Linked DNA regions of Drosophila melanogaster. The protein of the gene in region 3 interacts with the protein of the main gene of each other region in a pairwise test. Each region holds a gene or a part of one and is shown on either strand. Other genes may lie near its edges.

The links. The genes of interacting proteins can lie anywhere in the genome.
Region 1: the proteins of CG14589 (region 3) and Dip-B interact in a two-hybrid assay, tested with the Drosophila melanogaster proteins (one large-scale study listed by BioGRID).
Region 2: the proteins of CG14589 (region 3) and Kr-h2 interact in a two-hybrid assay, tested with the Drosophila melanogaster proteins (one large-scale study listed by BioGRID).

What each region holds. Positions count from the first base shown.
Region 1 is NT_033777.3:13,780,424-13,786,177, forward strand, and holds Dip-B (dipeptidase B), read left to right. Parts: upstream 1-1,864; 5' UTR 1,865-2,028; intron 2,029-2,216; exon of another isoform or gene 2,217-2,271; 5' UTR 2,272-2,404; coding exon 2,405-2,418; intron 2,419-3,393; coding exon 3,394-3,670; intron 3,671-3,737; coding exon 3,738-3,836; intron 3,837-3,893; coding exon 3,894-5,030; 3' UTR 5,031-5,253; downstream 5,254-5,754. Other genes in the region: CG9288 (uncharacterized protein), read left to right, coding at 1-245; CG9286 (uncharacterized protein), read left to right, coding at 631-753, 815-941, 1,001-1,644.
Region 2 is NT_033779.5:6,069,000-6,074,462, forward strand, and holds Kr-h2 (kruppel homolog 2), read left to right. Parts: upstream 1-1,990; 5' UTR 1,991-2,188; intron 2,189-3,213; exon of another isoform or gene 3,214-3,414; 5' UTR 3,415-3,456; coding exon 3,457-3,677; intron 3,678-3,734; coding exon 3,735-3,984; intron 3,985-4,040; coding exon 4,041-4,174; intron 4,175-4,237; coding exon 4,238-4,463; 3' UTR 4,464-4,962; downstream 4,963-5,463. Other genes in the region: Pfdn1 (prefoldin 1), read left to right, coding at 222-251, 348-490, 560-767; CG9154 (uncharacterized protein), read right to left, coding at 809-1,179, 1,234-1,393, 1,450-1,590. UniProt on the Drosophila melanogaster protein: Member of the dosage-dependent hierarchy effective upon white gene expression.
Region 3 is NT_033778.4:6,135,275-6,138,932, forward strand, and holds CG14589 (uncharacterized protein), read left to right. Parts: upstream 1-2,028; 5' UTR 2,029-2,152; coding exon 2,153-2,539; intron 2,540-2,714; coding exon 2,715-2,986; coding exon of another isoform or gene 2,987-2,991; intron 2,992-3,043; coding exon 3,044-3,134; 3' UTR 3,135-3,137; downstream 3,138-3,658.

The DNA.
Region 1 (5,754 bases), on a different chromosome or scaffold from region 3:
GGGGCAAGCTGGTAGAGGTGAACACCGCCATTGTGGAGGAGCCAAAGCTTCTGGAGCAACTCCCCGAGGGAGCCGGCTACTTCGCCATTCTTCTGCCCAAAATCGAAAACTGCGATGCAATCAAGGCGAGTCTTTTAACCCAGGAGCAGTATGAGGAGCGCCTAAAATCGAAAAACGAAGGTCTACCTCAAATTGAGTCCACCGGGGACCACGCTCAAAACAAAAATAAGGAGATTCAGGCGTGATTTTGACCCTTGTTTTGTTGTGCTTCTTCTATAAGGCCTTTGTATTTTAAATTAATGATTCATACATATATTATATTGCTCAAAGTCAATGAGGACTTAAATAATAATAATTTTGACAGTAAACCACAAATAATATTTTCTGAAACTTGTGAATTTTGTTAATACTTATGGTCAAATGTAATGTCGGGTCTACTATTTAATTTCCAGTAAATTTTATTTCTTAACAGCCTGTTAACTCCGGTGCATTTACAGAACTCTGCCCACTTAACAGCACGCTCCGTAATAGTTGGCAACTCAATGCAACACGTGTGGACGATAAACAGCTGTTCGGGCGGCAATTTAGTGGAAGCGAAACAAAACCAAATTCGTTAACTAAATCTTAAAAATGTCAGCTAATAAGCAAAAGAAATTGAGTACCATGGAGGTGGACCCCAACGAGGATGTCTCCAGTTCCAGCGAGGATGATGACGACGACGAACCGCATCCAGATGCCTATAAGGGAAACGAGGTAATCTAAGTGCCTCCAAAATATGAAAAGCAAATGTGTTTCAAAATTAATATCCGGCTAGGAGGTGCAAATCGACTTTGAGGGACGAGCTCCAGTAGATCCCGATGCCCAGGGAATCTCTCAACTCCTGCAGCGACTATTCCTTCGTGCCCACATCAACTGCAACCAAATGGCGGATTTGATCATAGGTGAGCACTCCAAGGTACTATCTTGATCTATCTATCAGCACAACTTTTTTTGTTTCCAGCCCAAAATTTTATAGGCAGTGTGATCTGCCAGTGCGACGACGAGGGCACCGAAAGCGAAACGGAGGACGACAACATGGTCGAGGATGGCACCATCTTTGGAATCACCTCTGTGCTGAACCTGACCGCCAAAAAGGATCAGCCCAGCATCGCCCAGTTAAGGACCTACATACTGGATCGCGCCAAGACGCACGCTTCTCCGGAGGTTCAGCAGCAGTTGAAGGAGATTCTAGACAGCGAGCAGCGCCATGTGGGATTCTTGATCAACGAGCGCTTTATCAATATCCCTGCCCAGATCTCCGTGCCACTGCTGCAGAGTTTGCAGCAAGAAATCGAAGCCGCCAAGGCCAAGAAAATGAAATACGACTTTGGCACTCTGCTGCTGCTGGTTAAGTTCTACAGGAAAGAGTCGAAGAAGGGCAAACCGGGCGAGGACGTGTACACCAACGCTGAGGATGAGTTGCTTTCGGATCGGGCTAAGTTCTCCTTCGAGTATTCCATGGCCTCTGAAACCGATTCGGGCATGTCTGGCGATTGGCTGGAAGGCGATGCCGTGATGACGCCCTACAGGAAACTCCTGGTCCTGGAGGCCAAAAAACTTCCGCAGCTTATTGACGATATACAACGCTTTATTAATGGCGAATAAATATTTTTTACATTTAAAACTGCTGTGTTATTTGGCCTTAATATAACACCCCGACAAATATCTAATTAAGAAGTAATAATGTCCGGTCTCTAACGACCGATAAGCTTCTATTTCTTTGTAGTCCCATACAAAGAGTATCAAAAATTCGAACCGAAAGCTTTCCACATCCTTTATGACAATTGGCAACGCGGGCAAACCACAAACAGCTGTCACTTGGCCGGCATTTGAAAGCTTCGCACATGCCGGCTGGTCTACTGTGAAAAAAAAACCTGGTTGCCATTCCTTTGTTTTTTGCCACTGGTTAGTTTTGGCCCAGAAACTGCATCCACCGTGGACGTGACTGGCAAGAGGAACCCACAATAACAATTCCGAAGACCGAGCGACGTGAGTAGACTTTGCCTTTATTGTTTACAAGTTATATCCGAGTTCTAGAATTACGTACATAGCGAGCATACTGGCGATTATTCATCGCTCGTGCGATTTGTTTTCATTCGAAAACGCAAGTAGCAATTAAAAAAAAAAAACCTAAAGCCCGGCTCGCTAGTAAAATGTATAAAAAGCTTGGCCACCCAGCCAGAACATTGCAAATCGTCGCGGAGAGCTATCACAATCGCTCCTTATCGCCAGCTTTCCGTTCCAGATCCCGCTCCCAAGTTTCCAGTTTCCAGCTGCAGCGCTTTGTTCCCATCAGGGAGGTTCAGTGACGCCCCACTTGCCGATCAACCAAGTCGCGTGAGCTGCCTGCGAAAAAGTACTCATCATGGGTATCGAAAAGTGAGTATTTATTACCAACAGTTATTAGAGGGTGTGTTTTAAGTTAGCGCGGATCAGTTATCTAGCCACCGCTTAGCGACCGATTGGAAAAGCTCTCAAAGATTCGCCATCTTTTACAGTGAGGGTTAGTCGCTTAGCATCCATCAATTGCTATCTTATTTACCTTTCCCATAATTCCAAAACGAAATTAGAATGTTTTTAGTACTGCATATCTCAGCGTTTATCAGTTTTAATTAGTTGCCGGCAAGGAATAGATGTCATGAAAATTCCAAACTTTATCTTTTCCCAAAATAAAAACAATGTTTGGCGAAATACTGTATAAAAGTTAAAGGGGGGAGGTCACTTAATTTTATCATTATTACTTAGATAACGAGTTCTTGCTACTTCTGGAAACAGATATATATAGATCAACTTTTATTGTTTGATATGGGGCACTTCAAAAGATAACACAATTAAATGGTCAGCGACATAGGATTATTCTCCAAAATATTATAGACCCAGTTACCTAAGGATTGGTATTTAGTAGAAACACTTGAATAAGATTACAAATATTCTAAATAAGTACTTTAACACCATTTGTGCTAATACTTGGTACACTTGTTTCTAAATTGGAAATCGGTTTGTGATTATGGTCATTTCGAAAGCTTATCGCGATTCTTTATAGCACTTCGAGTTAAGATAAGCCCAGCGCCAGGAATGAGGGTAAACGAAAGGGGAACACACTGAAACATGGCCATGGTTGCTCCTAATACAGTGGGGACATTTTCTTTTGAAATAATAAATTGAAATACAAAGGCAACAGGCTGTTATGCAATATGAACGACTGCATCAGTTAATAAAGCAAATGTGACGTGATAAAATTCAATTCAATTAAACGCTATTGCACATTTAGTTGACACCCAGAAATGTTTCTTAATGAATACCAATAACGATTCCGTTGCGCACTTTAACTCTACTCTACGTGTGCCCCTCCAGAATTCTACCATGCACCCTCCGGCTGAACAAGCTGATGAGTCTGGCCGGCAACGACTGCCTGTGCATCATCGATCGCAATGCGGTTCCCAATGAACTGAAGGCCACCTTCGAGGAGCACCGCAAATTCGACAAGTCCTTCGACAGCAGCATATCCTGCTTTAAGGTGCCCAACGTGGATCAACCTGTGGTCTATGCCCCCGTCTCCGAGCTCACCGACTACGACGATGTGAGGAGCTACCAGGAGGCGGCCAAGCGGTCCATGGAGAAGGTTCTCAAGGTGGGTTTTTTTTTTCTATACATATTGTGTGAATTATGAAAGAAAATGTATATGTATTCTTTGCCAGGCTGGATTCCACACGCCGTTGCTGTTTGTGCCCAAGGTTAAGCGCTTCCCCGAGGTCGAACTCTGCACCGTTCTGGGAGCTCTGGAGCAGCTTTATGTGGTAATATGGATTATGTTTACTTTTATTTCAATCAATGTGCTAAAACACGTTTTTTAGCCCATTCAATTGCGCGAGGCAGGAACTTTGAAGGACCCCCGTGTGACCACGCTCAGTGTCCAGATCGATGATCCAAGGGCCGAAGCTATTTTCCAGGAAGCTCTCATTCTGGAGGCCGGTCGCTTTGTGGCCCGCGACATCGGAGTTGGGGACCCGGAGCGCATGACGCCCATCCAGGTGGAGAAGTACATCAAGCCGTTGTTCGACAAGCTCAACGTGAATGTGATCAGTGACACCCAGGTGTTGCAGAAGGAGTATCCCCTGTTTGCCGCCGTAAACCGGGCTGCTGATGCAGTGGAGCGTCATCGTGGTCGCATCATTTTCCTGGAGTACAAGCCTCCAAAGCCGGCGAGAAAAACTCTGATGCTGGTCGGCAAGGGTGTTACCTATGACACCGGTGGTGCTGACATCAAGGCCGGTGGTGTGATGGCCGGTATGTCGCGCGACAAGTGTGGAGCGGCTGCTGTCGCTGGATTCATGCAGGTGGTCAGTCAACTGCAACCGGATGATATCCATGTTGTGGCTGCCCTGTGCATGGTGCGCAATTCCGTGGGCGAGGAGTGCTACGTGGCCGATGAGGTTATCACCTCGCGAGCTGGTCTTCATGTGAGGATTGGAAATACTGATGCCGAGGGTCGCATGTGCATGACCGATGCCCTGTGCCGCATGAAGGAGTTGGTCGTGGAGCAGAATCTCCCGGATCCGCATCTTTTCACCATTGCCACCTTGACTGGTCACGCCTTCATCTCGGCAGGTGAGGGTCAGTCGATTGCCATCGATAACAGCGTGGCCCATCGGGAGGATCACGCCAGAAGACTGCAGGCTGCTGGACAGGCCTTCGGAGAGCCCTTCGAAGTGTCCATTCTCCGTCCCAGTGACTTCTCTTTTAACGCTGGAAAGGTGATTGGCGAGGATTTGGTGCAGGCCAATAATGCCCCGTCGGTGAGGACTCCTCGCGGTCACCAGGTGCCCGCCGCCTTTATGATTAAGGCTTCTGGACTGGACAAACACGGGTTGGATTCAATGCTGCCCATTAAGTACACCCATATTGATATCGCCGGCAGTGCCGGTGAGCACCCAGCGATGCCCACAGCTGCCCCTCTTGTTTCCCTGGTGAAGACCCATCTGCAGAAGTAAATCATGTCCACCTAATATTCAGGAGGATGTGTACACGATCACCACAAACAGTACTTATACACCCACGTGCTTAGCTAACCAACAATATTATCCTACTAACTGCATCACTGTTTTTTAATAAAGGCAAAACCGAGTTCAGATTGTATTCATAAATGTATGTCACTAATTTGGTAATCGTTTACAAATAAATGTGAAAATGATTTGTTTTTTTCCTTAAGCTTACAAAGCAAATATCTCATTATATTCATCAACATGGAAATATAAACATTATATCATCCCATTATAGAGAATAACCACCCTACATATATTTGTTAAGTATACAAGAAAGCCGCGTGGGTATTCGGTCTTTTTTATTTCTTTTTTATTATTACTGCATTTCCCAGCTGCATTGTTTGCATAATTGGCGGGTGCCCTGCATTTCGAGCTCTTGTTGGCCATCTACGGTATGGCTCGTACTCCTGCTCTTCCCCTTTCGCAGCCTTTTCTCTTCAGCTTTGCAGCGCCTTCTTTTTTTGTAGCTTGGCCCACAGCCTAGAACCCGTTAGTCGCTTCTTGGCCATGCTCTTCGCTTTGGGCCCCGTTCCCGGGAGCTTGGCCCAGCAACTTGGCGTGGATTGGCTTGGTTGGGGGATGGGGATGTGGATGGGGCCCGCTTGTCAGCTGTCGCATGTGTCTTGGTACCGTTATTGCCTGGCTTTGGAAACTCGGTCAAGAGTGTCTCATT
Region 2 (5,463 bases), on a different chromosome or scaffold from region 3:
ATCGGTTTGAATTTACACTTGCCGGCAAATTGGTTATCGATAGTGCAGGGCGTACTCATCGATATTTTCAGGCCAGCAGGAGTCAGATATAACTGCCATCACTAATAAAGTAGAAAAAAAAAACCATAAGCTTACCGCAGGTGTTGCAATTTTCAGTGAATTCGCAGCAAAGCCAAGCAATTTGCATTCAATCATCTGTGAAGGAAAAGCTATCACACAAAATGGCACAAATGGACATCGAATTGAAGAAGGTGAGCGGAAGGCAAGTTGCCAAAAAGGCCGACTGCCGACGGAGAGCGCGTGCTCTTCCAAAGAACTTAGTCATAGACGATTCCTTTTGCACGCAGGCCTTCACCGAGATGCAGATCAATAAGCTGGAGACGACCAAGAAGATCCACATGATCGACATGAAGTGCGACATGGTCAAGACAGGCAAACAAAAGTACCAGCTGACAGAAAAGGGCACCAGCAGCTTGGCCGACGACACAAGGTACATAACTAGAATCACAATTAATCATCTCCAGGTGTTCAGGTGGCTAATTGAACTGTTTCCCTATAGAGTTTACCAGTCCGTGGGTCGCATGTTCCTGCTTACCGATGTACAGAATATGCGCGAGGACCTGAAGGCTAGGCAGGAGAAATGCGACAAAGCGATAGAACTGCTGGAGAAGAAGAAGGAGTTCTTGCAGAAGTCCCTTAAGAGCCAGGAAGACGGTCTGCGCGAGTTGGTGCAGCAGCGCAAGGAAGCCGATCAGACTGCGAAATAGACTACAACTCCAAACTGGCATTTATCCCTCAACGCAATTGCTTATTTATTTTCAATATACTCGTCTAAATTGAAGTTGGCGTAGCTGACAAACTTGTTGCCCAGATTGCGTTCGTGTTCCGGGCGGAAGCTGCACTTGAGGACGGGCAGGCGAGCGGTTAGCCAGGGCTCCACCACCTCACCGGAGCACAGGATTACCTTGCTCTCCTTCTGGTTTCGTTGCAGCCTAGTGATTATTTCACACGTTTTGGCGATGCACTCCTGGGACAGGAAGGGCGGGTCGGCCACGATGAGGTCATATTGCTGGTGGTGCTCTTTGAGGTAGTCCGGGTTGCTCCCTACGCAGTTCAAGTCGTAGTGCACAAAATCTGTGCCATAGGCCTCGAAACGCTTGTCGAACTCGAATATGTGCACTACAAGATAGAATGATGACAATTCATTCATAATCGTTTCACATGTCCACTTACCTGTGTCATGTATCTCCCTGATGTCCTTGTAGAGCGATGGGCAGGAGAGCAGTGCTATACTAAAGTCACCCGAATCCTCCGTGCGCTCCGCCAGAAGCTTACGCACAACATCACGCAATGCGTGCTTGGTTTCCGTGCTGTACCAGAACTGACTCAATTGCTGCAAGCGAAGAGAGTTTCACCATAAGTTTCTAAGGTATGTGCAGGTGCTCTTGCCCAATCCTCCTCGAACTGGGCATCCTTGCCGGTCTTGTTGGCGATTTGATTCTCCTCCTCGGCTTCGCGTTTTGATCTCTCCAACAGAAATTCGTTTAAAATGGCCAAAGTGTCGGCGGGCAGCGAGATGTCGTCGTCCATAATTAATTATTTGCCACTAAATGAATCTTAGAGCATTCAAATCAAAATAAACCAAAATGTGCGTTTGAAGATTAGAGGTGCGAAATTAGCGATACAAATGAGAACTTATTGGGGGGATTCCAGGCCTTGGCGCTGTTTTCAAATTGTAAATTATTAGAAACTTAGGCCAACTGCGATATTGAAATTATACTTTCAAAATAATATGCACTTTAACCGTATGCAAATCGATTACCAATTTTAATTTATTTTAAGTTATTTTATTAATACAACTAGCTCCAGAAACCTGTATCGTAACTTTTATTTGACAACACATTTTCAAACTGTACTGAATATTTAGGCGTTTAATCGACAACTAAAACAGCAACTTTCAAGTACGTGGTCTTTAAATTTCGTAAGATCGAGAAAGCAGTGCGATACAAATCGGTGGCAGCCCTGTGTCAGTTCGTTTTTATCGAACTAGATCAACTTTGCCCGTCCATCTCTAGTTCGCACGGGAGCCCCGACCAAACTGATACGTATTAATTTACGAGAAAAACTTGCGTTTAATTCGAAGTCACATCATATCGCAGGCTGGAACGTACCTGCTGCTAAGTAAGAGGTAAGTGAATGGCCAACGTGAATTAGGAAAAATCAGTGCCTTGCCGGAAACGAAATCCATGTGATTAAAGGCTAACTTTCTTCGCTTGACGTCGTTCCCAAATCGGATAAAAGTGTGCTGCTGGCCCAGTAATTACACTGGTGAATTATGCAGGTCGGCATTTGGACTCGCTCCGCGACTTCCGTGCGGGGGAGGAAGCATCCAATCCCCAAGCGCAACCGTTTCGAATTTCTACAGCGCGGCGCGAAGAGCCCTGCACTTTGATTTCGTTGCCGTTCATTGTGGAGTTCAGTCGGGTCAATCAGCCTCAATTTGCGAGACTTACCTTCTGAATCTCTGACGTGTACCTACCAACCAAACTGTCCACTATGTGACATCATATAATTGGGCTTCCGACTCCGGACTATTGCATGAATAATGTGCGCGCGGGTTGACAGGTGCTACCTTAAATTGACTAGGTGACCCACTTCCGTTGAAGGACCCTCCGTCCACAGATCCCAATCGATACGGCTGCCCCACTGCCAGTCTCATTACTCGACATGTAAATCGAAAGTACACGTAGGATGGACCCCCTCGGTTGGGTTTACTTAATCGCTCAGACCAGCCCACTCCCCCTCCCATGTTTCACCTGTTGCCACCTGTTTGTGTTTCAATATTTTGACGTGTATTTCGTAACAACATGCACATTGTGCGCTGTCTTGCAGTTTTCTCTTCGAGCTTCGTAACGAAATCTTTGCGTTTAGTGCGCTAGGCATCATAAACCGCATACTCGAGAAATATAATTGCCAAACCGTAAGAGTACATGATACTTTAGCGATGGCTTGGCTGTTTTCTTTTTTTGGTTGCCTCATGCAAAGCACTGTCCGTAATGGTGGGCAAGTCATCTTGGCTAAAGCGAACATTAACACGACTTTTGGGCCAGCCCGTTCTCGTTTTAAGTGCGTTTGCCAGCCACTTTCCATTTGACTGGTTTAACAGTTGGCCCTGACTTTCAATTAAGACGTAAAGCGCTTGGCACTGAGAAGCGTAGTGCAGTCTAATCCTGGAGTCATAGAGGGCAGATCTTGCGGGCTATTCATTAGGTTGGAACCCTCACACATCAGATAGCGCCGCAGTTACTTAGCCAAGGTTCTCTTATCGCTGCCTATGCCTAAGATAGCAGCCAAATTCCCGCCGATAAGGCCGAAAGTAGAAACCTTATACTGATTTTCATAACTGCCTTGCAGACTGAATACTGAACGGAAAGCGAGCACGAAAGCTACTTCATCATGAGCGCACCCACCGACCAACCACCGCGCTCCGAGGGCGCTCAGACCAACAGCTCCGAGAGATCCTCACAGCAGCAGGAGCAACCGCAGCAATCTCAATCACAGAACGTACCGGCCAAGCTCCTGCAGCATTTTCAGACAAATCGCATAGATTCCGCGCTATGGGCACTACGTCTGCTGGTCATCTTCTTCACCGTCAGCTACGTGCTGCCCATCTTTACGTGAGTACACGCGTTTTCCACATTGACCTACTCTAATTTTCACTTACTTCTCCACAGCTCACAACAGAGCGCATTCAGCAAGGTTATGCTGGCTAATGCCGCCATCTCTGCCTTGCGTTTGCACCAGAGATTGCCCGCGTTCGCGTTCAGTCGGGAGTTCCTTGCTCGACTGTTTGCCGAGGACTCGTGTCATTACATGATGTACTCCCTGATCTTCTTCAACATCCGCCCATCGCTGCTGGTTCTGATTCCCGTGCTGCTGTACTCAGTTCTGCACGCCTCAAGCTACTCGCTTAAGCTGCTGGATGTAAGGAAAGCAATATTTCACATTTGGCACTTGTCTAATAAGAAATGTACTTACAGCTGATTGGCCAGAACTCGTGGTGGGGTGCCCGTTTCATCATCTCCATTGTAGAGTTTCAGGCGGCGAATATCCTGAAGGCAACTGCATTCTGCGAGATCTTCATCATGCCTTACGCCATTGTGCTGGCCTTCATGTGAGTTTTAACACATATCTTTCGAGGGGAATGCACTCCAATGCAGAATACTTTCAATTTTAGGAACCACGCTGGATTGATGACGCCCGTTATTTACTACCACTATCTGGTGATGCGCTACAGCTCGCGACGAAATCCCTATCCGCGCAACGCTTTCGCTGAGCTGCGTATAACCTTCGAGGCGCTGGCCGCCCGCTCACCGCCCGCCTTTGCCAAGATCATCCGTGGAGGCATTGGGTTCGTCAACCGCTTGGCGCCGCAGCTACAGCCGGCTGCAGCGCAAGAGTAGACACGACAAGCAGCTAACGGAAAACAACAATCAAATGACATATGAATAAGGCTATTTAAATACCAGTTCACTTGCATAGATGTTCACACAGGAGATTGGGGTTCATCCGTTTTATTTGTTAGCCGAAATTCGTTGCACCTTTTCGAAGCGAAACTAGTTGTTTTACACCAGATTGTTTCGGCATTTAAGTTTAAATTTATCTATATATTATTGTAGTTTTTTTTGAGTACATCATCATGCTTTTTTCAACAACACACAATGTGGCAACGCACGAATTCCGCCATGGAGGATCAACGGCGCGTATTACTATATTTATATCCCAAAAACAAATTATTTCAATTTGTTTTGCTTTAACTTATATGTTCAAAATACTGATCAAACGAAAAACATGGACAGCTAACGCTGTTAGTAATTATTTACATATATTTTGTATGAGTGTGTAAAGATTCGAAGAACCAAACAAAGTAAAGTAAAGTTAAATAAAACATTTTGAGAAGGTACTAGAATTTGGACTACAATTTTTTCTGGTTGATTGGCTTTAAATCTTCTGCTACTGTATTAAGTGGTTTGCACTTAACTTGTTTCTTCTCAAGCCAATTAAAAAATGATATCAATCGTAATAATTTTCGTATCATCCTTAAAGTATGCAATACCTTAATTTCTCCACTTTTGGTCAGCGGGCTCAAACAGGTGAATGGAAGCGTTCCCCAACATACTCCAGATCAGGATCACTAGTCGATTTGGCCATGTTCCAGTCGGACACGAATAGTAGCAATCTAAGCACTTTTGTACAGCGCCGAAGCATCAACCCACAACGAAACTAATGAAATGATTTCTGGGTGTGAGGCTAGGGCGTTGGTAGCTTGTCGTTGGCTCTGGACTTCTTCCGAATTTCCACCAAGTTCAATGAACTTCTTGCGCAGCGCCAAAAAAAAAAAATGTTCGTCCAAATGAGGGTGAAGGCACCCGAGCTTTGTTGTGTTGTGTAGGTGAAACGACT
Region 3 (3,658 bases):
AATTACATGGGTTTGAATATGTTGCCTTGTCTAGTTCTGAATTTTCTCAAAGAAATAACACTAATCTAATCTTGTATGTTATATACAAGATAATTTAGATTCTTTAAGAAATCTGTAAAAGGTAATTTGAGTTTTTTCTGACACTATAAATTTTATGGTGTGTTGTTAAGCAGGATCAGTGGCCGTATCCATCTACCCCTAACAGTAAAAAAAGGCAAATAGGATTTAAAGGCCGAGATCGCTTTGGACTAGGATTCGGTCATTATCCATATTCAGACCAGCCTAGAATTGGCCCTGATGGACTTGGAGTAAAGAAAATAAATCCTTATTCTTTGTCTGTGCAAACGTGCGCGCATAACATACATAAATACGAGAGCTAATTAAACGTCTGCATACCGACATTTGATAGATTGTCGACGAAAATAAAAGTTGAATAAAACATATATGTAATTTTTTGATATTTTCCTAGGTAAAACAAATTATTGGGGGCTTTAGAGGCACAATGATATTTTTTATTTCCCTGTGCAAATATTCCAATTTTTCTTGTTTTTATGTTGGCTCGCATGACATTATTTGATTAAAAGTGACAATTGTAAGCCTTGTTGGTATTGGAGTAATACCAACCGAGCTCCTAATGCTTTTGTACACTATGTATGTAGATGTTGGCATCCTGGGTGTCAACAATTCTGATCATAATGCTCACTGGCAGCTAGTCCCTCAGATTGCATACTAAGCAGAAAACCAGCGTGCGTACATAATTGGCGTGCCCTTGTCGCGCCAGTTATCGATAACTATTTCCTGCACAGTTAAACTGGAACGCAGTACGGCCAAAACAAAAAACTCATCAGTATTCAGGAGGCTGGGGGAACTGAGCTCTTGTTGTTAGCGCAAGTGCCAACTCATTGGCTTAGCTGTAAGCGTTGGGTGCTGTAATTGCAGCACGCGCTGCTGCTTTTCCCGGGGGCTAGGAACTGATGCTCCAGTAAGCACCTGACAACGTTGGCTGGTAAAAAGCTTCTGGCTACAGAAATAGCGATGCACTTGCCACAACGCAGTCTGTGTCGTCCGTATTTGGGGTCGCCCCAAGCTCCCACCCACCCAGTCCTACCCCTTAGGCCTTCCAACGAACACTAAGGCACATTTGTTATAATTATTTTTAAAGTGCACATATTTAATCAAGTGTGGATTGGGCTGCTATGCAGTAGCACTATGTATGCATGTCAAACAACTAATTAGAGCCCATTTCTTTCCTTTAAGGAATTCTTAATTCAACAGAAACAATGGTTTCGAGTTTAAGGCAAATCAAATTTTAAATAATATAAACGATACTTTAAGAATGAATATTTAAATATTTTTTGAAATTCCAATAGAAATTGGCAAATAATAAATTCAAATTAAATCGAAGTATTCAACTTTCTGAGCGTAACAATTTTTTGCAGATTTTGGGAGTGGTAATCAACTCGGCTGGTAATCTGCTTTGATCAAGAATGTATGTACAAAGGATAAAGTTAAGGATCGCTACCTTCTGTATATATACTAAGCGACAGTAAACCAAGTGTGCAGTTACTCAAGGAAAATTTTGTAGGAGATTCTGTAAATAAAATCCCTGTGAAAAACCCACCAAAGTTCAATGCACGAATCTTGACGCAGTTGCTGCGGTTCATTATTATATTGGTGTTTTGGCTAATTAAGTCATAAAATGGGAAACCCCAGACACGCACACAAACAAACACAAAATCAACGAAAAATTAATTTAAAAAAAGTATTAGATATTAGAAACACCTCTACTAACACTAGTCATATTGTAAACAGTCCAAATAGTTAGCCGCTACTAAAATCGAATAAAATCAAATTAAATTTTCAAAGTATACATACCACGTTCAAAAAGTATCCTAAGTGAATTAAATTTTATTAAATGAATACGCTCTTTGAACTATTCAATTCCGAACTCAGCAAAGTTACGTTGTTCATGAGAACATTAATTACTGTCGGTTATTAACTTTTAAACGTTTAGTAGTAGGCTTCGAGAGCCCTTTCATGGGTAGAGTTTAGTTTGTTTATCCTTAAATGTATTTCCACCACCGTAATCTCAAGCAAACACAACAAAAACACGAGAATTTCAAGTACGGAAAGCAACACATTAGAAGGACCAATGTGGAACGTATCCTCGATCCTGGAAGGGCTAGAGCATGAGCAAGGAGTAAACGCGGACCTCCGCGGCAAGAACGTGTTCAACTTGTGCGTGACCTTCTTGTGGATATTTCTGTGCATCTACGTCCTGTCCAAGCTAACCCAACTCGTGGAGCTCTTTCTGTGCCAGCGGCTACTTGGCCAGAAGCAATGGTACGACGTCCGCACGATCAAAAACGAGTGGGAGCAGACCCTCCAGCTTTATGAGGACGATAAAAGCCAGCTGGACGCACAGGTGCGCGAGTTGCGAGAAAAGAACCTGAGTATGGAGCGCTTGATGGTGGACCTGCGAGACTACAACATCCACTTGATCAGCGAAAACTATATGCTGTCCGTGATGCACGAACAGGTTAACAAAACAAACACAAAACAACCAACATATTTGAGAATCTATTGATCTTAAAATCGCGCGCAATATTATTTTCCATTCAAAGACACTGTTACACTGCTAGCCATGTTATGTAAAGATCTAATTGACCTCGAGACATGTAAAGTGTATTAACAATTCATTGTTCTTTGCTCAGAAACCAAGGCCGGCCGAGCCGAACATCTACATCACCAACAGCCACTTCCATCTCACTCGCCAGATGTTTCTGAACGATAGTCAAATCAATCTGAACGTCCATGACCATGGCGAGAAAGGAGCTTCCGGGGAGGGCAAAAATGTCTGGCTGCAGTATCTAAGGATGCGCAAGTGCTATATGAGCCCGATTGCCGATCCGAATTCGATAGATCCCAGCAGCACCACCAAGCAGATTCTCCCAATTGTTATGAGCACCGAGCAGTTGGCCGAATTGCAAGGTGAGTAAAGTAACAATTTGTGAGATGTTAATAATCGTTGTCTTTTTCTTAGGCATGATCTAGTTAGTTTTAAGTTATATGCAAACATAAATCTCGATTGTTGTATTGATCGCAAAGAAAAAAGCTCAAACAAATATATTTAAATTAATTGCTCTACTTTTCCATTGTTTTTAAACGGAAATAGCGCAAACCTCGGTCAAAACATTTGTCACTATCCTTGCAGTTAAGATAATTATGTTATTCTCACATGTTTGTTTTTCGATTTGAAACGTAGAATCTGTAGAATGATTACTGTTTGTAGCCTTTAAGCTGGAAATAAAAATTAGCTTAGTAATGTTATTTATTTCAATTCGATTCATATTCCAAATTCAATTTTAGCTCAGTGCTTTGGACCACAGATAATCGGTTTTATTTGCCTAACTACCTACCACCTACCGCCTCCCAATTTCCTAAACGCACCGCCCTCTCCTCCCTTCGATGGCCTTCGCGACAACATCTGGCGGAAACGAAACGAAAACAAAATGCAAAATATAGCTGTCTACCAGTCGGTCGTCTGTTTGTTCCAACTGCGACTGCTAAGACGATGACTTATCAAGGCAGAATTTAGCGATTGGTTCTTTAGCTTTCTTCTTCGTTCCCCCACTGTGCCAGAACTCTCCATTTTATT